3 linked regions of the Tribolium castaneum genome follow. The protein of the gene in region 2 binds, or shares a complex with, the protein of the main gene of each other region. Links are inferred from orthologs where the notes say so. Each region holds a gene or a part of one and is shown on either strand. Other genes may lie near its edges.

Evidence for each region.
Region 1: TfIIEbeta (region 2) and Tfb5 share a complex: the UniProt entries of both Homo sapiens proteins name them as parts of the TBP-based Pol II pre-initiation complex. The link is inferred for Tribolium castaneum from reciprocal best matches to the Homo sapiens genes GTF2E2 and GTF2H5.
Region 3: TfIIEbeta (region 2) and Polr2B share a complex: the UniProt entries of both Homo sapiens proteins name them as parts of the TBP-based Pol II pre-initiation complex. The link is inferred for Tribolium castaneum from reciprocal best matches to the Homo sapiens genes GTF2E2 and POLR2B.

Annotation. Positions count from the first base shown.
Region 1 is NC_087399.1:6,497,872-6,501,281, forward strand, and holds Tfb5 (general transcription factor IIH subunit 5), read right to left. Parts: upstream 2,059-3,410; 5' UTR 1,952-2,058; coding exon 1,917-1,951; exon of another isoform or gene 1,870-1,916; coding exon of another isoform or gene 1,488-1,869; intron 1,027-1,487; coding exon of another isoform or gene 800-1,026; exon of another isoform or gene 794-799; intron 773-793; coding exon 586-772; 3' UTR 501-585; downstream 1-500. Other genes in the region: heix (ubiA prenyltransferase domain-containing protein 1 homolog), read right to left, coding at 1-76; meiotic nuclear division protein 1 homolog, read left to right, coding at 800-1,026, 1,488-1,869; hydroxyacyl-coenzyme A dehydrogenase, mitochondrial, read left to right, coding at 2,489-2,602, 2,657-3,233. UniProt on the Homo sapiens protein: Component of the general transcription and DNA repair factor IIH (TFIIH) core complex, which is involved in general and transcription-coupled nucleotide excision repair (NER) of damaged DNA and, when complexed to CAK, in RNA transcription by RNA polymerase II.
Region 2 is NC_087396.1:10,271,074-10,276,505, forward strand, and holds the start of TfIIEbeta (general transcription factor IIE subunit 2), read right to left. Parts: upstream 3,391-5,432; 5' UTR 3,276-3,390; coding exon 3,214-3,275; intron 3,159-3,213; coding exon 3,057-3,158; intron 3,003-3,056; coding exon 2,840-3,002; intron 2,789-2,839; coding exon 2,588-2,788; intron 1-2,587. UniProt on the Homo sapiens protein: Recruits TFIIH to the initiation complex and stimulates the RNA polymerase II C-terminal domain kinase and DNA-dependent ATPase activities of TFIIH. Both TFIIH and TFIIE are required for promoter clearance by RNA polymerase.
Region 3 is NC_087395.1:24,234,855-24,239,107, forward strand, and holds the start of Polr2B (DNA-directed RNA polymerase II subunit RPB2), read right to left. Parts: upstream 2,801-4,253; 5' UTR 2,662-2,800; coding exon 2,643-2,661; intron 2,585-2,642; coding exon 426-2,584; intron 374-425; coding exon 129-373; intron 69-128; coding exon 1-68. Other genes in the region: uncharacterized protein Rsod, read right to left, coding at 3,146-3,246, 3,291-3,846, 3,896-4,030, 4,077-4,163, 4,212-4,253. UniProt on the Homo sapiens protein: Catalytic core component of RNA polymerase II (Pol II), a DNA-dependent RNA polymerase which synthesizes mRNA precursors and many functional non-coding RNAs using the four ribonucleoside triphosphates as substrates.

The DNA.
Region 1 (3,410 bases), on a different chromosome or scaffold from region 2:
ATTTTTGGCCGTTTTGGCGCTTGGGAGTGGTGGAGCCATTGGTGAGGAGTTTCTCGCTGGGGGTGGGCACCGTCATGATGGGGGTAAATGCACTGACACGGAACTTAACACACTTGATGATTTGTGGCCGAGAAACGCGTTTTTTCGTTTTATAACTTTGACAAACGGAACATAACCAAAGAAGTCAATTGTGACGTTTGACATGTGGCTGTGGTTACGTCACGGCGGCTATTAAATCAGGGAAAAATTATAATTAGTGACACGTTTCCGTTATCTATTGCTTAATTCTATTCTTATCATTTGTGTGTAAAAATGTTCGTGATGGCGTAACAACTGTAGAATAGTCGGTTATCAAAGAAGCGTAATTGTAGCCACTTCCAATTTACAGGGAACTGTATTATTTGTACCGACAATTTGAAAAAACAGTTAATTAGTGCCTTATTGCGTAAGTATGGACGAAAACCGGCCCGCAACGATATTATTTATAGCAAAACACGTCATTATATAAATGCTGCGCTTTTTATTTATAATTCGAATGACCACACATCAATATGACATAACCTCACTTTTGCAAATTACAAAAAATTAATTGCTTTTTTCGGCGACTGGGAAGCTAATTTGGTCCATCAGATCGTCGATTTTTGCCTGTAATGTCTCTAAAATATCGGCTGAAATAAATAAGTGGTTTTCATCCAAGTCCTGAATTATGAATTTTCGGCCTAGTTTTGTAGTCTCATCTAAATACAAAAGGAATTGTTTCATGGCCTGGTCACTGAAACAACGCATTTTTTAGGGGAAAATGTTCAAGAAAAAAGGTCTAAGTTTTGAGGAGAAAAAGGCTAGGATGTTGCAATTGTTTCACGAGACTGGGGATTTTTATCAAATGAATGAATTGGAAATAATTGCGCCAAAGGAGAAAGGAATTACGGCGAATTCTGTGAAAGAAGTGGTCCAAGCTTTGGTGGATGATGGTTCTGTTGATAAGGATAAGATCGGGAGTTCCGTCTACTTTTGGGCTTTTCCCAGGTAAATATTATACAGGGTGTCCGTTTTTTTGAGAAGTTGTGCATTTGTATGCAAAACAATTTCTGAAAGAAAATTTTATGTGCCATTTTTAGTTTTTGAATTATTGAGAGAAATTTAAAAAAATGATTTTCGTTTTTATTTTTTTCCCATAAAAAAAACGAAGTTAAGTGTTGTAACTCTGACATCAAGCAAGCCTAGGAAAATCCGATGACAAATTTAGATTCCTTGTAAAAAGTGCCCGAAAAAGTCCTACGTCTAGTTCTTTTGGTTTTCACTTGAAAAAATAAAAACGAAAATTACAATTTTTTTTTTCAAATAATTGTTCAGCATAAAAATGCGCAACTTTGCCCTAATTTAACCGACCTCGTATCTCTTATAATAACGGAGATCACTGAGATAACTGGGAGAGTGTCCGAAAAACGGTATAGACGGGCCAAAAACACGTTTTATCCTAATTACAGCAAATTACTTAACGCGAAAAAACGCAAACTTAACGAGCTTCAAACGAAATTAGAATCGTCAACAAAAAAATTGAAATTAATTGACGAAACTATGGAAAAAGCGCAGGTGGGGAAAGAGAATTGGGACGACAGCCAGATTTTGAAGGAAATTGAAAAACTGGAAAAACAGAAAGAAAAATTCGAATCTCTGTCGAAATCTCACACAGATACTCAAAATTTGAAATTAATGCAAAGTGAGATAAAACCGGTAAAAGAAGCAGCAAATCGATGGACTGATAATATCTTCGCGGTCAAATCATGGTGCAAAAGGAAGTTTATGATGGAAGATAAGGTTTTAAATAAGCAGTTTGGGATTCCCGGAGATTTGGATTATCTGGCATGATTGAGGTTATGTCAAACAAAAACTCAAAAAAATTGTTAGGGCCTTACCAGGTCACCAAAACGCCTTTCATTACATTAACCATTGTTGATAATCGAGAATTGTGTACTTTTTTAAATCAGAAATAAATTATTTTTCTTACAAAAGTTGGTGTTTTTATGACATTTGACAACTTATAGAATGCAACTAACCTCTCACACGTGTATTGCTGATTGCATAATCACAAATTTCCCCAAAATTATATTTTTTTTCAAGTATTTCTTTGAAAAAAGTGGATAAATTGATAACAGGGATTGCTATATAGCCCCATTTTGGAACCCTCCTGTGTACCACTTGACTGAATGATGTTGCACTTTTATTACATAATACCTAAATAAATTCAGGTACAAAAGTCGCACTCGTTATCGAAAGCGGATTATTTTTAAACCATCGGCACGATGATTTTCACTTCTGAGCCCTAATCTCGCCATAAACGATAAAATGATTAAAAAGTACACAAACGTAGCGGTGGGAGTCGATCATAGGTTACAAACTTGGACTTTCACCTAGTTATTGTATCGTTAATAAACCAAACAAAATCCGCATTACACACCACTTTTTACTCGTAACCGAACGCGAAAAAATGGCCCTAAACCTGTTCATCAAGCGAAGCCTTTCAACTTCAAGCCCCATGAACGCAGTTATAAAAAACGTAACTGTGATCGGGGGCGGCCTCATGGGCTCAGGCATCGCCCAAGTAAGTGTACCCCAAACCACCCGAACCTAACCTAACATTCGCCCCCTTGCTTAGGTGGCCGCGCAAACCGGCCACAACGTGACCATCGTGGAAGTCAACCCCGACTTGATCAAAAAAGCCGAAGACAGCATTGCGAAAAACTTGGTACGAGTCGCCAAAAAACTCCACAAGGATGACCCGCAAGCCGCTAATAAATTCGTGAGCGAATCGCAGGCCCGGATTAAGGGGTGCACCGACATTGCCGAAGCTGTGAAAGACAGCGATTTGGTCGTGGAGGCGATTGTTGAAAACATGGATGTTAAGCACAAATTGTTCAAAAATTTGGATGAGGTCGCGCCCCCCAAAACCATGTTTGCGTCAAATACGAGCTCGCTCTCGATTACCGAAATTGCCTCCGTTACGAAGAGGAAGGATAGGTTCGGGGGGCTGCATTTTTTCAATCCCGTGCCCGTTATGAAGCTTTTGGAGGTTGTTAGGACTCCGGAGACGTCGCAGGAGACGTACGAGGCCTTTATGGCGTGGGGCAAAGCCGTGGGCAAGACCTGCGTCACCTGCAAGGACACCCCCGGGTTTATTGTTAACAGGCTTCTGGTGCCCTATATAGCAGAAGCCATCAGGATGATGGAGAGAGGTAATAATTATGTAATATTGAAGCTCGAAGCGAAGCTGAGAGCTTTAAGGTTGCCAAGCTTGTGGCAAATACAGGCGTTCAATAAATCTGATACGACTTGAGTTACACAAAACGAAATGAATTTTTGAAAATATTTTTATTGCCAATAAGGCTCTACGAATGGAAAATAAATCGAGT
Region 2 (5,432 bases):
TTTTCTGTATCTCAAAAACTAATAATCTTACGTAGAAATATGCGTTTGCAAAAAATGCTTTATTATTTTCTTCATGTATATGAGTTTTTTTGGATTTTTTTTTACAATTCCATAACAATAAAATTATTATTACTAATGAATTAAAAATATTAATAGTATTATTAAAATTTAAAATATGAAATGGAAACATAAATTAACCAAACTGTCATTCTAAAACAAACGATGCCCAAATGATGATTTCCATTTAAATTACGCATTTAAAAACAAACGCTAAATTCTGGTTGATTATTATGAGTAATTTCTATTTGTTTTGCCGACTTGTTCGATCCCTTTCATCTTTTTCCTAGAATGTTTCGCTTAGAGTTTCGACATATTCCGAGAAAGTCTGAGGTATTTCAAAGAATTTAATAGCACAAAAATTCGAATTCAATGTTACATGATATTATTTGCTTCTTGCTGAGCTTTCTCAATCTATCATCAGAAATCTTCATGACAAAATAATTTTTTTACCAAAAATAAATTAAAATTTGACCTATTGTTTCCAAAGTGAAAAAAAAGATTTTGTTGATGCTTCACTAAATTCAGTTCATAGAATTAACACCATAATTGTTTGTATGAATAATACTAGGATACAGAAATATCGTGTTTTACATCTTCTAGTCTTTAGTTGCTTTTGCCCTCTCTTTCTCTTGTCCCGCACTTGACTGTGGGAGATTCTCGGCGGCAAATTTTGTCAAAATGAATATTCGCGATTCGTTCAAAACTACAACAAAATTTTTCGTTTTTTGGACGCATTCTGTTCGTACCATCACTGTGCATCTTTCCCGTACACATTTTTAAAAATATTATGAATATTTGTTTAAACTTTTAATAAAAAAATATCAAATAATTTTTTTTCAAAGTCTTACGTTGTCTCAAATTATAATTATTTAAAAGAGTCAATTCCATTTTTCGATTTAAAATTGGATTACAAATATCGCCAAAAGTAGAAAAATAAATTTCATTACTACTTGTCTTTGCCACACACTTGGTTTAACTCTGTCGTCCCCTTTAGCCTTATAGTGACCTATTATCCACTAGTGGAATAAACTAGGAATTATGACTACCAGACAAAGCCTGCCAAGATTAATTTTACGATTGTGGATAAAACATTGTATTGCATTCATGTTTTAGTCGCATTTTATCCACTTGAGAATATTAAACATTCTTGCGTGGATAAAATGCTTTCGAAAACACTTATACAATAAATAGCTATTAAAAAATCTGCGAAACCAAGGGCCGTATGAATACAATTGAGTAAATGCTTTTACTTCAAATTTTGCAAGTAAATGTTCTAAATTGTATGAGTAAAAATGTAAGTATAAGTTTTTACTAAAAGTAAAAGCACACTGGGCGAGTATTTGCTTGAACGTCGAGGTTTTACTCAAAACAAAATGAATAAAACAAAGTAAATGCTTTTTTCGTTGAGGATTTAGTTCAAAATTGTTGACGCTAATCAGTAGGAGCATCAATTTTTAAAAGTAACACCTCAAACTCGAAACAATGGTGGGTGTTGTGCAACTATGGGTAAGAAAAACTTATAAACAACCTCGCGAACACATAGGATAAGATTTTAAGACTTTATATCGGTTTGAACGAAAAAATCTTCGTGCTTTGGCTAGGTATTTTTTGAGTGAGAACAACGAAATGGGAGGAGATGGAAATCCATTTTAAAAATTACAACATTGAAAACTTCACTACAATGATTTATTTTGAGAGCAGATTCTCCAAAAAACTAAAGAAGTAAAAGCAAGAGCAAATGCTTTTCCTTTATACTCATACTTTAAGTAAATACTTCAACTTTATTCATACGACCCCATATCTACATCTTCAACTATTTAGGCCCCAAAAATGTTTAAAAATGCTCACACAGCGGTTTCGTTTCATTTTATGGTCAAGTATTGGAAAATTAATTTATACCTAAACCAATGAAGATGTGGCGGACTTTTTTGTAGGAAATTTAATTCTCTACATCTATGCTTCTTACACATCTTTAGTTGAATTCGCAGCGTTTTCATATATATAAATATGCGATTTTTTGACACTGTTTTCAATAAAGTGTTTCCACTATCTTAATCTCTGACTCTTTCTGTATTAAGTTTTTAATTTAAATTAAAAGTGCAAAAAAATATAAACATTTATTATCAATTTGCAATCCGCGTTATAATTTTTAAAACATAGCGAATACGTTTAAAGGTATAAAGAAGTGTGAAGAACAAAGTTGTAAAGAAAAATAGTCGCGGACTTTTTTGTAGAAAATTGATTTTTCTACTACTTTGTTCCTAACATTTTTCTTGTATCTTTAACCAAATTAACAGCGTTTTAAAAATATGGGTCACACTGCAAATTAATATGTTTGAAATTTTTGCATTATTTTTAGTTGTTACTCTTGAAAATTTAATGCTCTATGTGCCTGTATTTTTTTGAATTGTGTTAATAGTTATTTAAATAGTCAACTGGGCTTTTTGGCGACATTACCGAAAATATTGAAGTCGGAGACGTTTTATTTGTACGTCGTTCGTTTAGAAAATAACTAAAAGAATGATACCTTCAAAGCCTTTTCGCAGTGTGGTAACGACTCTTGCACGTCGTCTAACAACACACCGCCTAACCCTTTCAAATCTTGTTGTTTCAATAGTTTCAGTAAGCTTTTCCTGTCTTTAAGTTTATATGGAGCTTTGAATAAAAATTTTCCGTCAGGAGTGACCTCAATTTTAGGATTATCGACTAACGCTTCGGTTTGCAGCCACTTAAATCAACACCATTACATTTAAGTATTGTAATAATGACACAAAATTACTTGCTTGACTTTATTCCCTACGTCTAATTGATTAGTTTCGTCTAAAATTTCCTCTAATGTGAGTGGATATGTTTCACCTTCTTGGTGTCTCTTCCTCATATGTTTCACGATTTTAGCGAGAACACCGAATCGATATTGCGAACTTCCTGTTGCTGTTTTGTATCTAAAAAAAAATCACAAAGTAATTGATTCAAATTTGCAATGTTTTGCTGCTTACGTGTTGATATCAAGTTTAGGGGTGCTACTACTAGAAGACTTAAACCTTTTGCTATCATCGCGAGTTGGTTCTGGTCTTGAATCAGTCTTTTTTCTTTCTACACTGAAAGTAGAACAAAATTAACTGAATAAGTTGACAAAATGCGAATGCTACTTACGTAGGAGTTGTAAGTGCACGTTTTTTGAATAATTCTCTTTCTTTTAGTAAGGCGGGGTCCATTTTATTGGAGAAATAATAAATAAATAATACGAACTATGTTGTTTGAGGAATAATCATCTGTTTTCTTTTGCATTTGACATTCACGGCTGTCAAAGTGACAAGTGGTGGGGGACCGATGCCTTGCGCTGTCTGTCTTTTGTGGCCGACTGTTCCTTGAACCGAATTTTATATATTTTTTTGCAATATTATTATTTAATTAATTACTAATTATAGAAATATGTAGTAATAATCGTTGTTAATTAACTCTAGTTTTTAATCGGATGTGATGCCAACTACTAGCTTGCTGTGTGGAGGTTTTTTGGTTTTTGTTTTACAATGCAAGCTGTCTCAAAATTTGCGAATTTCGAGTTCAGAGCATTGTAAAGATAGTAAAGAATCGCTTCAGTAGTCCAAATGTAGAAACCAAATGAAGATTCGGGGCTTCCCCATTACTTTGGTTTGAAGATCACTTTCTCTTTGCACTGCGTTTTCTTCAAATACGGACTAAAAGTTTAAGTGTTTATTCTTATTTATGGTGAAGATGATTGTTGAGAATAATAATGTAAAACGATTGTCGATTTCTTAAAAAATAGCTTTATTTTGGTGTAAAAAAATTAAGTTTTTGTAATTTGTTGTTACATTTTTAAGAAAAATTAAACAAGTTGAATGAATAAAATATTTTTTCTAAAAAAATTACACAATTTTTTAATTAGTTTTAAATTATTATTTTCTACAATCATCTAAGAACACCATAAATAACAATAAACACTAAAATTTTTAGCCCGCGTTTGAAGAAAACGCAATTCAAAGTAAATCTTCATTTTGTGTCTTCTCATACATTTAAGCTACGGAACTCTACAACGCTCTGAACTCGGAATAATTCGCCAATTTTGAGACAATTTTGTCCCAGCTAAGACTACCTGGGGCAGTGCGTAATTTGGGGGTGGCAATTGCCATCCAAAATTGTTCAGCTCAACATTATTTGTAATATGGAAGAATGAAAAAACAAAATTATCCAAGAAAGAGCCGACATTTTTGTTGAAGGGCTATGAAAAGTATGTTCCCTCTACTTTTTGACCTTTATATGTTTATTTTTTGCGATTCCAATAAACACAACATCTTGTGAGAGGTCTTTTTCTCGCTTGCGGCGGTTGAAAACGAACACTAGGAAGATTGGCCAAGAAAGGTTGTCTTCATTATCTCTTTTGGCTATCGAAAGAAGTGTTAATGTTGACATTTTCAAGGTAATTGATATCTTTGATACGAACCTTCACTTCACTTTGCTTAAAAAATAACTTATAATAATAACTAAAATTTGAATAAACCTTTGTTTTTTTTTATGTTTGTTTCATTTACATGAAAAAGATCACGAATTAAAAATTGGTCTACAGTAGGCCCATTTAAGAGTATCTCTTAAGTTGCGTCTAACTACCTAACATTACACATTACCTAATTAACAGTGAATCTTTAAAAAACAAAAAGATTCATAGGTACATAGCTACAGGTATTTCAGCAGTTTTAATTTCCGTTAATTTTTCTGCGATACGCGAAGAAGGTACATTTTTATATTTCATTTAGTATTTTCTTCAAATTTCAAAAGATATTTTTTTAAAACAACTCGTTAAATGTTGAGTTAAATTATGAACGTCTTTTGAGCCAATTTCTTAATCTTCTAGGTTGCTTTTTAATCCAGAAATTTTCATTTCCATTTTTGAATTTTACCGATACAATAAGCAAAAAATAGTTGCCGAGATAGGCCAGAACGATGTATTTCATTTAGGTTTTTTATTTACTTGTCTGTTTATTAAATATTTAGCGTTTTACCTCCTGAGTCAGATATTATATTCTTTGTTGGAAAAAAAACACAAAAAATCGCGCCGAATTTAGTCTAAATATACAGATAAAATTCAGATAGAATAAAAAGCCTGACGATCTGGCGATGCAACCCAAAAAACAGATTTCATTTCCGTCTTGATCTAATTTTAATTACAGATTGCATTTGCAATCCAAGTTATCTAATGTTGCTCTGTCAGTGCTTGACAAGCTTTGACATCGGTCGGTGCTGGACATTATTGTCACATTGTACCATGCGTTGCTCTTGCTGCAATGAATTTGTTTACCCAACGTTTCCCGAATAGACAAAATCCTAGTGGCATGATTTTTAAACGTCCTGAGAGG
Region 3 (4,253 bases), on a different chromosome or scaffold from region 2:
CGAACTGCTCCTCTTGGTCGCCGATGCGTTTCGATTCGGCGTCCTTGTACGAGCGGTAAAACACAGATCTAAAGCACAAAATAACAAATTATTTTATTTCTACTATATTACTTTTTTTTAATACTCACCGGAAAAATCCCCTTTCGACGGCCGACGCGTTCAAAATAACCGAATCCTCCTGGTTATAACCGGTGTAACACGCAATGGCCACGATGCTGTTAATCCCAGCCGGTAATTCCCTGAATCTGAGATATTCCATTGATCTGGTTGTAACCAACGGTTTGTGGGGGTAATACAGGACGTGGGCAAGGGTGTCCATGCGGACATGGAAGTTGGTGATGTACACACCCATGGCTTGCTTGCCCATAGCACTCTGAGGAAAAAATTAATTACTAAAAAAATTCAAACAACACCAAAACAAATACTTGATATGTGTTTCTGGGACTCTGGTTGTGATCCGGGAAGGGTATAATACTGGCACAAACACCCAAAATCATAGCTGGATGGATCTCACAATGTGTGTAAGTGGTACAATACGCGTATTCCTTCTCCTGTCTCAAATCGTCCGGAGACATCGCAATCATCACAGTCTCCTCTTCCAAAGTATCGATATATTCGACAACCCCTGAAGCCACCAAAACCTGCCACCCGTAGTTATTATATTCCCTCTCTTTCAACATATCAATGTGGCGCTTCTTCAACAATAAAGTCCCATTTTCCACGATTAGTAACGGCCGACAAATCCGTCCAGCATCCGTGTAAATGCGAATCTCCCGGTCCCGAATATCCCGAATCATGGAAACCTCCGACACAATAATATCCATCTGTCTCCTCAACTTGCGTAACGTCGCCATCAACTGTTCGGGGTCCCTGTGAATTCCCACCCAGCAACCATTAACAAAAATCTTGGTCGCGTTGGCTATGGCAGACGGCGCAATCTCCTCCAAATTCTCCATCGACCACTCCTCCAAAAACTCCAAAATTGGAGAGGGTTGCGACCCCACCGAAATATACGCCATGAGGGCCAGATTTTTCACCAGACCAACAGCCGCCCCTTCTGGTGTCTCCGCCGGACAAATCATCCCCCAGAGCGTGTTGTGCAACTGTCGGGGCTTCGCCAACTTCCCGTCACGTCCAATGGGCGAATTAACACGTCTCAAGTGCGACAAAGTCGAGGCAAAAGTCAAACGGTTCAACACCTGCGAGACACCGGCTCTGGCCTGGTGGGCCTTCTTCTGGTCCCCCCAGTTACCAGTCGCCAGAGAATACCTCAACCCGTCCGTAATCAACTTAGTCTTAATGGCCAAGTCGAGGTTAAAGTCTTTGCCCCGATCAATAAATTTCTGGGCATACATCCGTACTTCCTTCATCAAGTTTTTAAACAACCCACGGAACAAAAACGCAAGCAGGGGCCCCGCCAAGTCCAGTCGTTTGTTACCGTAGTGATCCCGATCGTCCAGCTCGCGGCGCCCCAAAGCCGCCAGGAGCAACCGGTGCACCATGTACCCCAAAAAGTAGGCTTTTTTCGTCTCGCAAAAATCGGACACTCCAACGTGGGGCAGCATCTCCTTCTGGAGGATCTCTCGCGCGTATTTGATACGCTTTTCTTTGGTGACGCCCGGCCGGGCCCCCCTGGTCCCAATGAAGTTGAGTGCGATGTTCTGTTCCTGGATCACGAACGCTTCGTCCAGGGACGGTTTCACCATTTCCATCATCTCGGGGTCTTCGAAGTCGTAAATAATGTGCTCGAGGATGTCCCGATCGGCCACGAACCCCAAGGCCCGGAACACGATCATGATGGGGATCTCCTGCTTGATGTAGGGCAAGATCGCGATGATTCGTTGCCCGATGGCGGCCTTTTTGATCGCCTGGCCCCCACGTGCCATCATGTTGACCCAGAGGGTGGACGTGGGGCGCGAGCTGTGCTCGAGACAGGAGCGGATTTCGGATTTGAAGGCGTATTTCCCGTCTTTCATCGAGAAGACGTAGACGGTGTTCGTGGCCATTTTCTCCTGGGCGATTAGGACTTTCTCTGAGCCGTTGATGATGAAGTAGCCGCCGGGGTCAAGGGGGCACTCGTTGAGTTCGGTCAAGTCGCGGTCGGTTAGACCGTTGAGGAGACAGTACGTGGATCGGAGCATAATCGGGATTTTCCCGATGAAGGTTTTCTGGTGCTGGGTCTCAATGGGGTCCTCGCCGTCCTTGACTATGGTCTTGGTGATATCGACGTACAAGGGGGCCGAGTAGGTCAGGTTGCGCAAGCGGGCCTCGTTGGGCATCATGGGCGAGGGGGCGCCGTCTTTCTCCCAATGGGTCGGTTTGGATAGGTAGATCTGCTCGAATTTCAGTAAATACCGAGAGGGGTTTTCAAGCTCGCCGCTTGTGTGCTGTGCCTCGGCTTGGAGGTCGATTTGGGGCGAGTCTTCGACGATTCGTTGCACCGACATTTGGATAAACTCGTCGAAACTGTCCAGTTGTTGCCGGACGAGGCCTTTTTCGTCGAAATAGGCGTTGATGACGATCCAGCAGGCCTCTTGCCACAACTCGGAGCTGATTTCTTCAGACTCTTCATCGTCGAATTGGTCTGAAAAGCCGGTTTTTGTTACAAATGGCTCGGGGGCTACTCAAGGGGGATTGCGTACCTTCGTCTTGTTCATACATTGCTGATTATTTGCAAAAAATGGGGCACAAATGAGACGCACAAAACACAAGTTTTGAGCGTCTGTCAAGTGTCAGTTGACTTTGTATGGGGACCCCAAGAAAACCCTTATTTTGTGAAATAAATTAATATTTTATGTTCGGGGGGTAGCCCCAAACACAATACTTTGGAAAACAAATAAAAAACTTGTTAAATACGGCCCAATTTTTTATTTTCCTGCAATGACCTTGAAGTGTTACGTAACCATACAACAAAAAAGTCTCCAGATTTTCAAGATACGATGTTAAATTACACTATTCGACCAAAAAAATATTTAATAATTATCTGTAATGTGACTTAAAGGTCAGGTAAGTGGTAACAAGTCCAATTTTTTAATTATATTGCGTTTTTGATTTTTTGTGGATTGCACCACGTGACTTCATTATTGGCGCTAAATTTCAAACTCCATGGTAATATATTACTTTTTTATTAGGAACAGTCATATCATTACAATAAATAGCTTAAAACTATCACTACAATCAGACTGTGAGCAAATTTGGCTGGGTTGCTTCCTGAGCGTGCAAAGAAAAATCCGGTCCGTTTTTTACCTGCAAAATACACTCATTTTTTGTCGCCTAATCCATAAACTTACTCTTCTCGTTGGGGTCTTGTACTCCACACTGCTTGTACGCAATTTTCACCTTACGTTTCGTATTAATAAACCCTGGAATGTACAATGTGGGGGTGTCTAAACGCCCACTTGCCAGCAATCGGCTGAAATCCTGCTCTAATCGGTTAGCTAGCGGTCCTTTAAAATGCAGCAAAAGCTGGACGCAAGCGTCGCTGTGCAAAGACTTGGTTTTGCGCGAATCTACGGTCAAAAACCAGTCGGGGATTCCCAGAATTTCGCGCACTTCTTCGATAAACTGCGACAGGACAAAACGTGGGGGCTTTTCGATGTTTGCGTACTTGATTATGTCATAGTCGGGCTCGATATTGGCACAGGCGTAACGTTCGGGACGTCTGTTGGGGCTCATGATGACGATGGAGCGCCCGATTGCCGTGACGTCGCCTTCGAGCGGGAAATTCGCATCGGTGAAGACTTTGCGCTGGAGCCCGATGTCGATGGTCCCCAAACGGGCCGACAGGTCCCCCACGTGGCACCTGAGCGGGTTCTCAGGCCCGCACTCTTGCCGATAAAGATCACCCTGAAACCAGAACATTATATTATAAAATTAAAAAAAAAGCAAAATATACATTGAGGGGGTCGGCCAGTTGGGTGAAATAGGGGTTCCAGATGTAGCCCCCGGCCACACACCGCGTGTTCTGGGTCTTGACGGCCGCGTCCACGCCCACTGGGTTCACGTAAATGGCCCAGTCATGGTCCCTGGTCTGTTCAAAATAGTACCATTAAAAATAAACCACTGGAGACACGTACCACATTCCGGTCGTTTTTCCCAGGATGCCGCAGTTTGACTTCGATCGTGGTGTCACTCTTGCTACCGTCATTGTAAATTAGTTGTTTCTGCAATTGCAAAAATTAGGATTTTTTTGGGTTGAGGAAAAGTGGTACCATTTTTAAATATCCATAAGCGTACCCATCTGGGTGGTGGAA